Linked DNA regions of Arabidopsis thaliana. The protein of the gene in region 1 interacts with the protein of each later gene in a pairwise test. Each region holds a gene or a part of one and is shown on either strand. Other genes may lie near its edges.

Region 1 (3,484 bases):
TGGATACATTAATATATTATATCTCTTGAAATAGTTTATTTAGTTATGATATTTTTATATTATTATGTATGAAAATACTCAAAATAGTTACAATTTTATGTATTTTTAAATATATATTTCAATATACTATGTTTATAATGTTATGTAATTCTATACTAGTAATAAATACTAATCAAAACTATTAAATAATAAAAGAAATCTTTTAAATAGATAATATAATAGTATATATTTTTTTTAGTATGATTTTTGGTGTTATGGTCGGAAAAAACACAAGTTTTAGTGCTAAAAATGATGTAATTTGAACACCAAAATGGTGTTGAGCCTTGAAGATGCCCTTAGAAAGTAAAGAAACACTTTAAATGATACCGAAAATACCCTTCCTGAAAAGCATAAGCAACAGTTACTTGACCAGGGTCATATCCGACCGACCAGCCGGTCAACGAGAAATACACATCTGATGAAATCTGTTACGTAAGGCTTCTGTAACGGCCTTCCAATTTTTTCCATATAATATATGATAAAGTGGTCCGACAAACGCAATCCCTCAAAGATTGTTATTTTATCATCATCTTAAGAACAAAGATTTAGTCCTCCAAATCATATAAATCAGCTTTAATTAGTTTATACACCAAATCTTAAACCAATGAAGGGACATTTAACTCTTCGGACTCACTTAAACTATATATACCCATATCTTAAGCTTTCTTTTATTTTCTTAAAAAGTAACAGAAATGTTCTCAAATAGATCGATGTATAGAATATGAATAATTTAGGGATATTATTCATATATAATCAATCGATGAGAGGTGACTCTATATTGCAGATTGGGTACCTACAAATTTCATAACAAGTTGTTTGTGCTGACAACGATAAATGTTTTTATTTTAGCATTTTTCCTTTTTATGGAAGGGGTTGGTCAAACATGAGAAACAAGAAGGCAAATTTTGCAGATAACAAAAGGAAGGCAGAAGCATGCATGAAAGCCAAAAAAGCATGTGACCAACTTTGTAAAATTCAACCTTTTTTCTCAGCCTTTTGGTAAAATTATCTACAAATCCAAACTATATATATATGGAACTATACATTTTTGTCTAACTGAATTCACAACATTTAATAATCATATATAAAGAAAAAGATGGTAGCAAACCAAGAACACATGCCAACTTGTAATTTCCATACATCAAGAACACTGACATTCTGATGGTAAGCAACTAAACACTGTTGGCAACTACAATCTCTTTTAAAAGTTCATTCTCAAGAATATTGATGACTCCTTTATTTCTTTTTATATAACATTAACTAGCCAATTTTCTATATCCCATTAGGGGCTAAGAATAATAAAATGGTTACGAAATTCGATCTTGATCACCAAAAGATATTCCAACTTGTATATATGTTTAGCGCTACATTTGTGAGATGCTAATTGGATTACACAATCCAAAATATATATTCCACTCCTTTTGCGATCATATTGATAATGGTATTATATGTAGCTTGTTTATAGAGATTGATTAGAGAGGATTTGAGAGCATAAAGTGAATACGGAATATAATGGAAAACCACCGGCCATATATCCAAACATTCGACCTCATCTCTGCGTTACGACTTGCTCACATAATGTTGGCAGCATCAAATTTATTATTCGGCGCGTCTCTATATACAATATATATATATACACATGAATATTGGACCATTTGTATTTATATATATGCATATATTGGACCATTTGTATTTGATAATATTGGACCAATTTCGCAGACAAAAACTAGCTAGCTAGTGTAAATGTGTAAGAAGATATTACAGAAAAAGCCGACAAGAAGGATAGATATATCCATTACCAACAATTCCCTTATTCTACTAACCTATTTAACTGAATAATATTCTACTTTTATATGGTTGTAAAATCTTGAAAAAATAAATAATTATACTTAAATGGGACTCAAATGTCTCTTAAAAATATCATCCTATCATAACAAAAGCTAGCAACCATGATGGTCCATGACTATCACATCAATAACTTTGTTATCATTTGGCATATCCTCTCTAATAATATGCCATTTTAAAATAAATTAAAACCTACCAGTTAAATTTAGAACTTCACCATGTATAAATACTCTGCATGCCTCTCACTCTCTCCCCAACCAACTCTCACACAAATTCTCTCGCTCTCTCACTCTCTTATTCTCTTTCTCTTTTTCTCTAAGAATACAAAAAAAGATGCAATACAAAACAGAAACTCGAGGGTCGTTGTCCTACAACAACAACAGTAAGGTGATGAACAACATGAATGTGTTTCCGTCGGAGACACTGGCGAAGATAGAGTCGATGGCGGCAGAGAATGCGGTGGTTATATTCAGCGTGAGCACTTGCTGCATGTGCCATGCCATCAAGCGTCTCTTCCGTGGAATGGGCGTCAGCCCCGCCGTCCACGAGCTCGACCTCCTCCCTTACGGAGTTGAAATCCACCGAGCTCTCCTCCGTCTCCTTGGCTGTTCCAGCGGTGGCGCCACATCTCCGGGGGCACTTCCGGTGGTGTTCATCGGAGGGAAGATGGTAGGAGCAATGGAGAGAGTGATGGCTTCACATATCAATGGCTCACTCGTCCCTCTTCTCAAAGATGCTGGCGCTCTTTGGCTCTGATGAGTGCTAATCTCATCCTCCAAATATCAACCTTTGGTTTATCTTTGGTTTTTAAGGACAGAAGAAATAGGTTAATCCCAGTGTTGAATTAGAGACAGTGAGAGAGAAGAGTGATGCGTTTGTTTTAAGCTTAGCTCTTTGTCTATCTTAAATCACACTAATATATAAATGTTAACTAATCGCTATGTCTCTTGTTAGCTTTCTTATCTCTAATTTTACAATTTGACAGTTGATTTGCAAAATTTAATGGTCATTTTTCACAAATAAAAATTTGCCATGAAAATAAAATAAAATTAAAGGTCAAACTAAGACAAGAACGAGGAGGTTATTTTCATGACCTAAAATCTTAACCGTTATAACTGTTAACTTGTGGGGGAAATAATCACCTCATGAGGGGTCCCCACTCCAGATTACGTGGAGACCCACTAACAATAATCCGTGATTTTGACCCGACCGTTGCGTCAAGAAGAGCCCGTACATGATCATCCAATAACGTCACTGATTTTACAGCTATCAATTCCTTCCTAATTCATTTTTGCTTTTAAAAAACAAATTAGAGAACACTTCTTCAGTCATTCATATTTCATACAATCACATGTCACCTTTTCTTTGTTTTTTCTTCTTCTCAAAGTTGTAAGAAAACTACAATTACAAGGTCACATTATCTGAGTTTGGAAGGTTTTTAAACATTTCACTTCCATTACAACTTTAAAGGGCTCATCAATTACCATGATGAGTAAAAGAAGGAACTAAATAGCATATATACCTTGAGATAAGTTATACTCATTAGAATAATTCTTACGTAGACAATAAACGACTCGTAACGTGTAAGTCACCCAGAGAT
Region 2 (8,034 bases), 2.4 Mb from region 1:
TACATTTCGTAATTAACATTCTGAATTATTATCTGAGCTGCCTCCCCAAGATAAATGTGATCTTTTTCAAACGCACGAACAATTGCTTCCCAAACACCCTAAAAGAGCATTATACAGCTGAGACAATGAACACAAACAAAAGTGCGAAACAGAGAGACAGTTTTCCTTACAGAAGCACCCGAAAGTCGACCAAAGATGTTGCGGCTTTCCGGAGTTGTCTTCAGGAGAATCTCATACACCTTTTTGACCTCCAAGTAACCGATCACTGGAAGCAAAACAACATTAAACTTGAATGAGAATACAACCAAGTAAGGCCCTCCTCCTAATCAATCATCAGACATAACCAAACAACAAACAAGCTTACGGTGTTCACAAAGATGCCAATAAAATCTCTTTGGCATTTTCAAACAAAATACTAACACTTTAAGTTATAAATGAGAGCAGTGAACCAAAACGCAATTTAAGACGAATTCGTTTTGAAGGTTTGAAAATTCGCCAAACTGATAAAAGAACAAAATTTGAAGAATTTAAAACCTTCAGGATCTAGGGTTTGAAAGAATGGATCGATCTCTTTAGGCAAAGAAGAGAACTCTTTTAAGATTTTGACTCTGATCACAGCAACCCTCTTCCTCCAATCCGCCGGAATTCTCTTCCGATCCACCAACCATTCTTCAAATTCAACAAAATTGAAATCAAATGAAGACAATAATCACCAACGCAGATTCGAATCCAACGAAGAAAACGAAAAAAAAAAACCAAAGAGATATAAAAATTTAAAATTCCGTGTACTCGTAATTGATAGTTCTGCATTACCTCCGAGACGAGAGAAGGTGATATCGATTGGAAGATTTTGAACATCATCTTGTGACGGCATTTTCTTCCGGTTAACCTTTCACGCTTTCTGGGAAATTTTATCTCCGAAGTCTCACACAGTTTAACGTTTTGGAGTCTCAAGAGTTTGCTACAGAAGAACGCATAATTTCATTGGTCTCATCAAATATCTCGAATCCGGTTATTGAACTAACCGAACCAATTTACTCCGGTCCGCGGCAGATTAAATTGTTTATTGGTTTTATATGGGTTGGTTGGATGGTCCATTACCGCGGTTAACATAAACTGGTCTATCTAGTAACGTCGGTTTTACCTTTACGGATTAGTCTACAGATTTTAAACTTTTTTTTCTTTACAAGTTAAAACTATTTTGAGGAAATTATTTGTATGAATATTTTGTGAATGATGGGAAAGAAATCAAAATTAGTTTACCAGCTCAATTTGATCAAACCAATTAGCTTAACAAAAACAAAACCTAGACCATATTAGTGCCCATTCAAACAAAGTACAATGGAACAGTTAGAGATACAAACAAAATTCAATCAATATATTTGACAATCTAAGTTCATAAATCACATAATAATGACTTTTAACTTGTTTCATATAATGTCTAGTGTTTATAGATTGAATGTAAGAGCGGTTAATGGATCATTAAAAATCGAATAAAAAATCTTATAATAATAATATAGATGATGGAATTGAAAAGTATATCTTAAAGTAAAAATCTAATAGCTGAATAATATATATAGGAGAAATATAATAATAATAATTTAGAGAACAAACAAAAAATATTTATACAAGTTTGTTATCAGCAATGTGACTAGAGAGAAGGAAGAAGAAGAGAGAGGGGATGGAAAAGGACATGTTCTTGACCGCTTTATCAGAATATTTTTCTTGGTTTCATACAAAAATAAAAACAAAGTCGTCTTCTAATATTTTAAGGTAGAAGAAACTTATACAACAAAAATATCAGAAAATAAAAAGGAGTTTGTCTTTAGGTTCTTCTCTCCAATCTCTATTTTTCTCTCCAATATCCTTCTTAAGTTTTTGAACCCTCTCCACTTCAATATAACCGACCTCTCTTCTCTCTTCTGAAAAAAACACCAAAGGAGCTTTAAATGCTCCGTTACATAATCTCTATCTCTTTCCAAGAATATAGAGAAAGGAAAATAATATACAAGAATTAAAAGAAGGTATATCATCATCTCTCTAGCTAGTGATCAAAGCACCGTCATCATCATCATATATCATCAGCTTGCCTCAGAGGAGAAGACCAACATAAGAGAGATCGAAGATCAAAATCTATCTCTCTTCATCATCTTCTGCTGTTACTATCATATCACACGCTCTCTCAAACATCATCCTATATATAGACTTCTCTTCATCATCATCAAATGCAAGGTCATCACCAGAATCATCATCAACACTTATCATCATCCTCCGCCACGTCTTCCCATGGAAACTTCATGTAATTTTTACTCACTTAATAACTTTTTGAATTGATTGATGATCCCCATGTTTTTAATAAGAGAGCTTTAATTTATGTGTGCAGGAACAAAGATGGGTATGATATTGGAGAGATAGACCCATCACTCTTCCTCTATCTTGATGGACAAGGACATCATGATCCTCCATCAACTGCTCCTTCTCCTTTACATCATCATCACACAACTCGTATGCACTCTCTCTCTCTCTCTTTTCTTTCTTTTTTGGGAATTGGGGTTTGTTTTTTTGGTTTCAGCAGATAAGGAAGATTCCCTTTAGGTGTGTGAGAGAGAGAGAGAGTCACAGCAAAAGCATGCCAAACAGATTTCAATCTTTCTTCTGCCATCAGTACTCTATTCTTTCAGCTTTGACCAGATCCTCTCTCTTTTCAGACACCAAATCTTTCAAATCCATATATCTTACACTTCTTTAAACCCTTTTCTCTCTCTGTCCTTTTTCTTCTAATTAGAAGAACTAGTCCGCTCACATATTTATATACATGACTTGTTATAACTAGACCATTTCTCATACATATGGTCACATGACTCATCTTATGGCAGAGAATTTGGCGATGAGACCTCCAACATCGACGCTCAACATCTTTCCATCTCAGCCTATGCACATAGAGCCACCTCCTTCTTCTACACACAATGTAATAATTATTACTATTACTTTATAAATTTCTATATATATATGCCAATTTTAGTTGGTTTCTGTTTCTAATTTAATATAATGTCAGCGCAACTACTAGCCATTTCATATAATATCAAGTCAGACCAATTATTATACGTTTCTTATTTTTCTATTGAGTAGTGATTTGATTGTTTTTTGGTTGTTTTATATAATGTGTTTGGTAAGACCGATAATACAAGATTAGTTCCGGCTGCTCAACCTAGTGGTTCCACTCGACCAGCTTCTGACCCGTCCATGGACTTGACCAATCATTCTCAGTTTCATCAACCTCCTCAAGGTTCTAAATCCATCAAGGTCTCTATCCATTTATGTTTTTTTAATCATTTAATTGCTTTGTCGAACTATAACTCGAGTATAGATATAGACTTGTTGTGGTTGTTTTTAGAAGTTAATGGGTCATATCTAAATGTTATGGCAGAAGGAAGGGAACCGCAAGGGTCTTGCCTCATCGGACCATGACATACCTAAATCGTCAGACCCTAAAGTGAGTGTATATTCATACAACTGCAGAAAATTAATAAGATTCTTTTTTTTTTTTTTTTTTTTACTTTTCGGTTTTTGATAGTTTCTTTATTAATTTAATTCTCAACAGACATTGAGAAGACTAGCACAAAACAGAGAAGCAGCAAGAAAAAGCAGATTACGTAAAAAGGTCAGCATTCAATATTTGTAAGTTGCAAATATAGTTTTTATATCCAAATTTATTTATAACGTTATTTGCTTTGGTAAATTACGACAGGCTTATGTTCAGCAACTCGAGTCATGTAGGATCAAACTGACCCAACTAGAACAAGAGATTCAACGGGCCAGATCCCAAGTAAATATTTGAACCTGTCTTTTCATATATATTGTATTTAACCTAAAGTCTAAAATGTACCAATTTAATTTGATTTCCTATATATGTTTAGGGCGTATTCTTTGGAGGGTCTCTTATAGGAGGAGATCAACAGCAAGGTGGACTACCCATTGGCCCTGGCAACATCAGCTCTGGTACGTTAATAGTTTCATAAATGTGATGACTCAAAAACCGTAAAATTTGAAAACCGAGAGAATGAGATATTGAGTAAATGCAATGTGAAGCAGAAGCAGCGGTGTTCGATATGGAATATGCGAGGTGGCTGGAGGAGCAGCAGAGGCTATTAAACGAACTAAGGGTGGCAACACAAGAACACTTGTCCGAGAACGAGCTTAGGATGTTTGTGGACACATGTTTAGCTCATTATGACCATTTGATTAACCTCAAGGCTATGGTCGCTAAGACCGATGTCTTCCACCTCATTTCTGGAGCATGGAAAACTCCAGCTGAACGTTGCTTCTTGTGGATGGGTGGTTTCCGTCCATCGGAGATCATTAAGGTACATCTCGTCTTTTCTTATAGCCATATACATATATTTAGGTTTTTCGAGAGATATTTACTTATTCTATTCGAGCCACATCCCACACAATAATTAGTCATGATGATATTGTAAACTAATCAAATATGGATTAATAAATCTAAATTTTGGAATTTTACTTGAAGACTAATCATTTTAAATTTTATCTTAGAACCTAAAATATTCCAGGATACAATCATTAATACCATCAATTTTGTGGATTACTTGCAGAACATATACTAATAATGACTGAAATTGTGACATTGTTATTATTTATATCGTACATATATGTCCACAGAATATAGTACTTCCAACTTTATTTTATTATTTAGATTTTTTTTTTTAATTTAGTCTTTGATTCTCGTAAAAGAGGTACGATATAGTAATAATAGATAAGACAGACAAGAGATAGACTATATAGTGATATTGTTGGACGAGGTATATATATACATAACATTGCATGGGGTGACTCTAGATGTATAAAACCAACATATATACGTGAATGTCTTTATATTACGACAATAATAAAGGTACACGTAAAATTATTTTGAAAACAAATTAAGAATGCATGCAATTGTGTGTGATGGTGAAGTATCTCTAGAAATAGGTAGGTTTTGGCATAATGCAAAAGAAAGTGCCTGTCTGTTTTTTCGATTTATGGGATCCATAGGAGAGAGAGATAGACATAAACCACCATGGAATTCAACAGAGACGACCATAATAAACAAACCAAAAATAAATAATTGTTTAACATTTTTAGCACGCTCGTCAATTGGATGATTATCATTTTTTTTCTTTTCTAAAATGGTTACGTAAAGCCATTTTAATTAAACCTACTTTTTATTCTAAACAATATGAGTACCTACGATAGCCGATTAATAATACAAATTAATATATGGATGGTGTGCATATCTGACAAGACCTTTGGCAATGTCTCAATCTTATATCCTTTTTAGTGAAAATAAAAAGGAAAGAAGAGATTTTGGGTGTAGCTAGTAACTCGTGCAGAGTACATACACTACACACTTTAATGCATTCAACGTTCTTTATGCATCCATTAAGACCATTGTTAATTAATCCTCGATATCTCAACTTGTGTGTATTAATTAGAAACGCATGCATGCAGGTGATTGTGAACCAGATAGAACCATTGACGGAGCAACAGATAGTTGGGATATGTGGGCTGCAACAGTCCACACAAGAGGCCGAGGAGGCTCTCTCGCAAGGCCTCGAGGCGTTGAATCAATCACTTTCCGATAGCATTGTCTCTGACTCCCTCCCGCCTGCCTCCGCACCACTTCCTCCTCATCTATCCAATTTCATGTCACACATGTCCTTAGCTCTCAACAAGCTCTCTGCTCTCGAGGGCTTCGTTCTCCAGGTACCCTTATAACTCTTTCTTTTTAAGTTTATGTGCAATTATATATCAATATACCAATCTTTTATCTTTATATAAAAATATACCTATAGAGTTGATATACAAGTGGACCCCTAGAGGATATATGTGGTCCTAATCAGACTAGGAATACATATTCTGTTTCTTTGAACTACTCCTTATTAAACTCAACTATCATATACTTATATATTTCTATATTTGGCTGTTATAACACGCTATCTAAATTTATATAGATGTTTGTATATATGTGTGTGTCTGTTTTGTGTACAACTCATATATAGGTATAACGTCGGCCATAATTTGTTAGAGGACATTTGTAATATATTAAGTGTATATAGAATAAAAGTGGTTGATTTTAAAGAAGATGTCAAAACTAATTCGCAAACTTAATAATTATGCATTAACATGTATATGTATATGAAATGGAAAGTATTTGCCTCTTGATTCGGACATTATGCAAGTAGGTATCTAACAAACACTTCTCTTGTCTTATATCAACTTGGTCGGGTTGCTTTTCTTAGACGACCAAGTTTATTAATTTAATATTTATTTCTTAATCATTTACTAGTTTAGGACAGGCAAGTTTTTGAAACAAAGAAATATATATATCTGCTTGTGTATATTAATGTATAAGTCTATACTCTATATGCAAATGGACATTTCGGCTAATTAATTCTATACAAGATACATGCATATACAAGTTGGCATCTTTCAATGATTTCTTAATATAATTAGTTCTAAATTGTTCCTGTTCCGCCTATAAAAAAAGTTTTTGTGTTTCGCTACACGGTTAGTCGCTCACAATTTGGAGAAAGATCCAACTTTAAAATAGGTGGTAAATGTGGGGTTAGTTACTAAAAAGGGGTAATGAATTCAATTTTCTCTAAACGCACGTGACAATTGGCACCATGAAAGTATGTATTAAGTATACATATTCCAATATATGTAGTCCAAAAGAAAAATACATATATTATGTATCTATAATATATCACATCAAATAAAAACATGGAATGCTTGGAGCCCATATCGTTGCATGATGTCATGGACGTAACTGCCCAAGTATCCCATCCTCCGAAAACACTTCCTTGAGAATAATTCCTTTACTTACATTTGATTCTGCATTTTTTTGTCTACTTTTATATCATTGATAATAGGTTGATTATATATGTATGATTCTAATTAATGATCAAAAGTATCATGAAGCATGGCGTGGGACCGAGGGTATGGAATTCACGGTTTCACCTTTTTGACATGTTGGTGTCGTGTTCTTATTAGTGAATTACTAACAAGCTTTGATTTTTTGATCGATCAACATGTTGAATAATCGGCATTAGTCGTCAATCAACCACATAATTTCGGGTCATGCACAATCATTATAATGCTTAATTAGTCCTTTATCTGTTTTTTTCCTCTCTAGTTAGTCTTTAATACTTATATTTATGAGATTAATGATGGTCCAATTCGATTATTTGTCCTTAATTGGTCTTAGTCAATAACATGTGCACTACTTTGTCCATCTTTTGTTTTGCTTTTACTATTTCTCCATTTTCCCTATAACTCTTATTTAGTTTTGAACTAGCTAATACATTAGAAACTTACAGGCGGATAATTTGAGGCACCAAACGATCCATAGGCTGAACCAATTGTTGACGACCCGTCAAGAAGCACGGTGTCTTCTAGCCGTTGCGGAGTACTTCCACCGTCTTCAAGCTCTAAGTTCTCTCTGGCTAGCCCGTCCTCGGCAAGATGGATAATACTAAAACAACTGATGAAGGAAACCAAAAACAAAAACAAGAGAATAGGTTGATTAGTTAGCCGCCAGCTTGACCTCTTTATCATATATATCGTCTCTCTACTCAAATACAGTGCAATTAGGGAAAATTGTTTGGCTTCTTTTTGTTATATGATTCTTACTATTATGTTTTTAATCAAGATGCAGATTATATATATAGACAAGTATTCCATACCTTTTAATGAATTCTTCCTTATGCAAATTCAAGTGAAAAATTATACTTGATCTTCAATTCCAAACACAAGAACATGAGAGAGTATTGAAAGGAAACAAAAATAGAAGGCTGGCAACAATTGCAGTTGCATGCAAGACTTATCACTTGTTAGGTCAAATTAAAGCATTGACCAGTGAGGAAGGTGACAAATGGTGAGTTCTGTAGGATACCGTCAGGGACTTGGGATCAGTACCGTTTTGCTTTGGGTTCAACGCCCTTCTCTCTCTCCTTTACTTTTCATTTCTTTGCT

What was found.
Region 2: the proteins of ROXY2 (region 1) and TGA10 interact in a two-hybrid assay, tested with the Arabidopsis thaliana proteins (one study listed by BioGRID).

Annotation. Positions count from the first base shown.
Region 1 is NC_003076.8:4,539,698-4,543,181, forward strand, and holds ROXY2 (Thioredoxin superfamily protein), read left to right. Parts: upstream 1-2,082; 5' UTR 2,083-2,217; coding exon 2,218-2,640; 3' UTR 2,641-2,888; downstream 2,889-3,484.
Region 2 is NC_003076.8:2,118,686-2,126,719, forward strand, and holds TGA10 (bZIP transcription factor family protein), read left to right. Parts: upstream 1-1,786; 5' UTR 1,787-2,225; coding exon 2,226-2,299; intron 2,300-2,383; coding exon 2,384-2,505; intron 2,506-2,876; coding exon 2,877-2,968; intron 2,969-3,174; coding exon 3,175-3,303; intron 3,304-3,427; coding exon 3,428-3,493; intron 3,494-3,601; coding exon 3,602-3,661; intron 3,662-3,748; coding exon 3,749-3,826; intron 3,827-3,917; coding exon 3,918-3,999; intron 4,000-4,089; coding exon of another isoform or gene 4,090-4,092; coding exon 4,093-4,364; intron 4,365-5,508; coding exon 5,509-5,763; intron 5,764-7,379; coding exon 7,380-7,532; 3' UTR 7,533-7,772; downstream 7,773-8,034. Other genes in the region: AT5G06830 (uncharacterized protein), read right to left, coding at 4-98, 171-265, 535-669, 814-874. UniProt on the Arabidopsis thaliana protein: Together with TGA9, basic leucine-zipper transcription factor required for anther development, probably via the activation of SPL expression in anthers and via the regulation of genes with functions in early and middle tapetal development.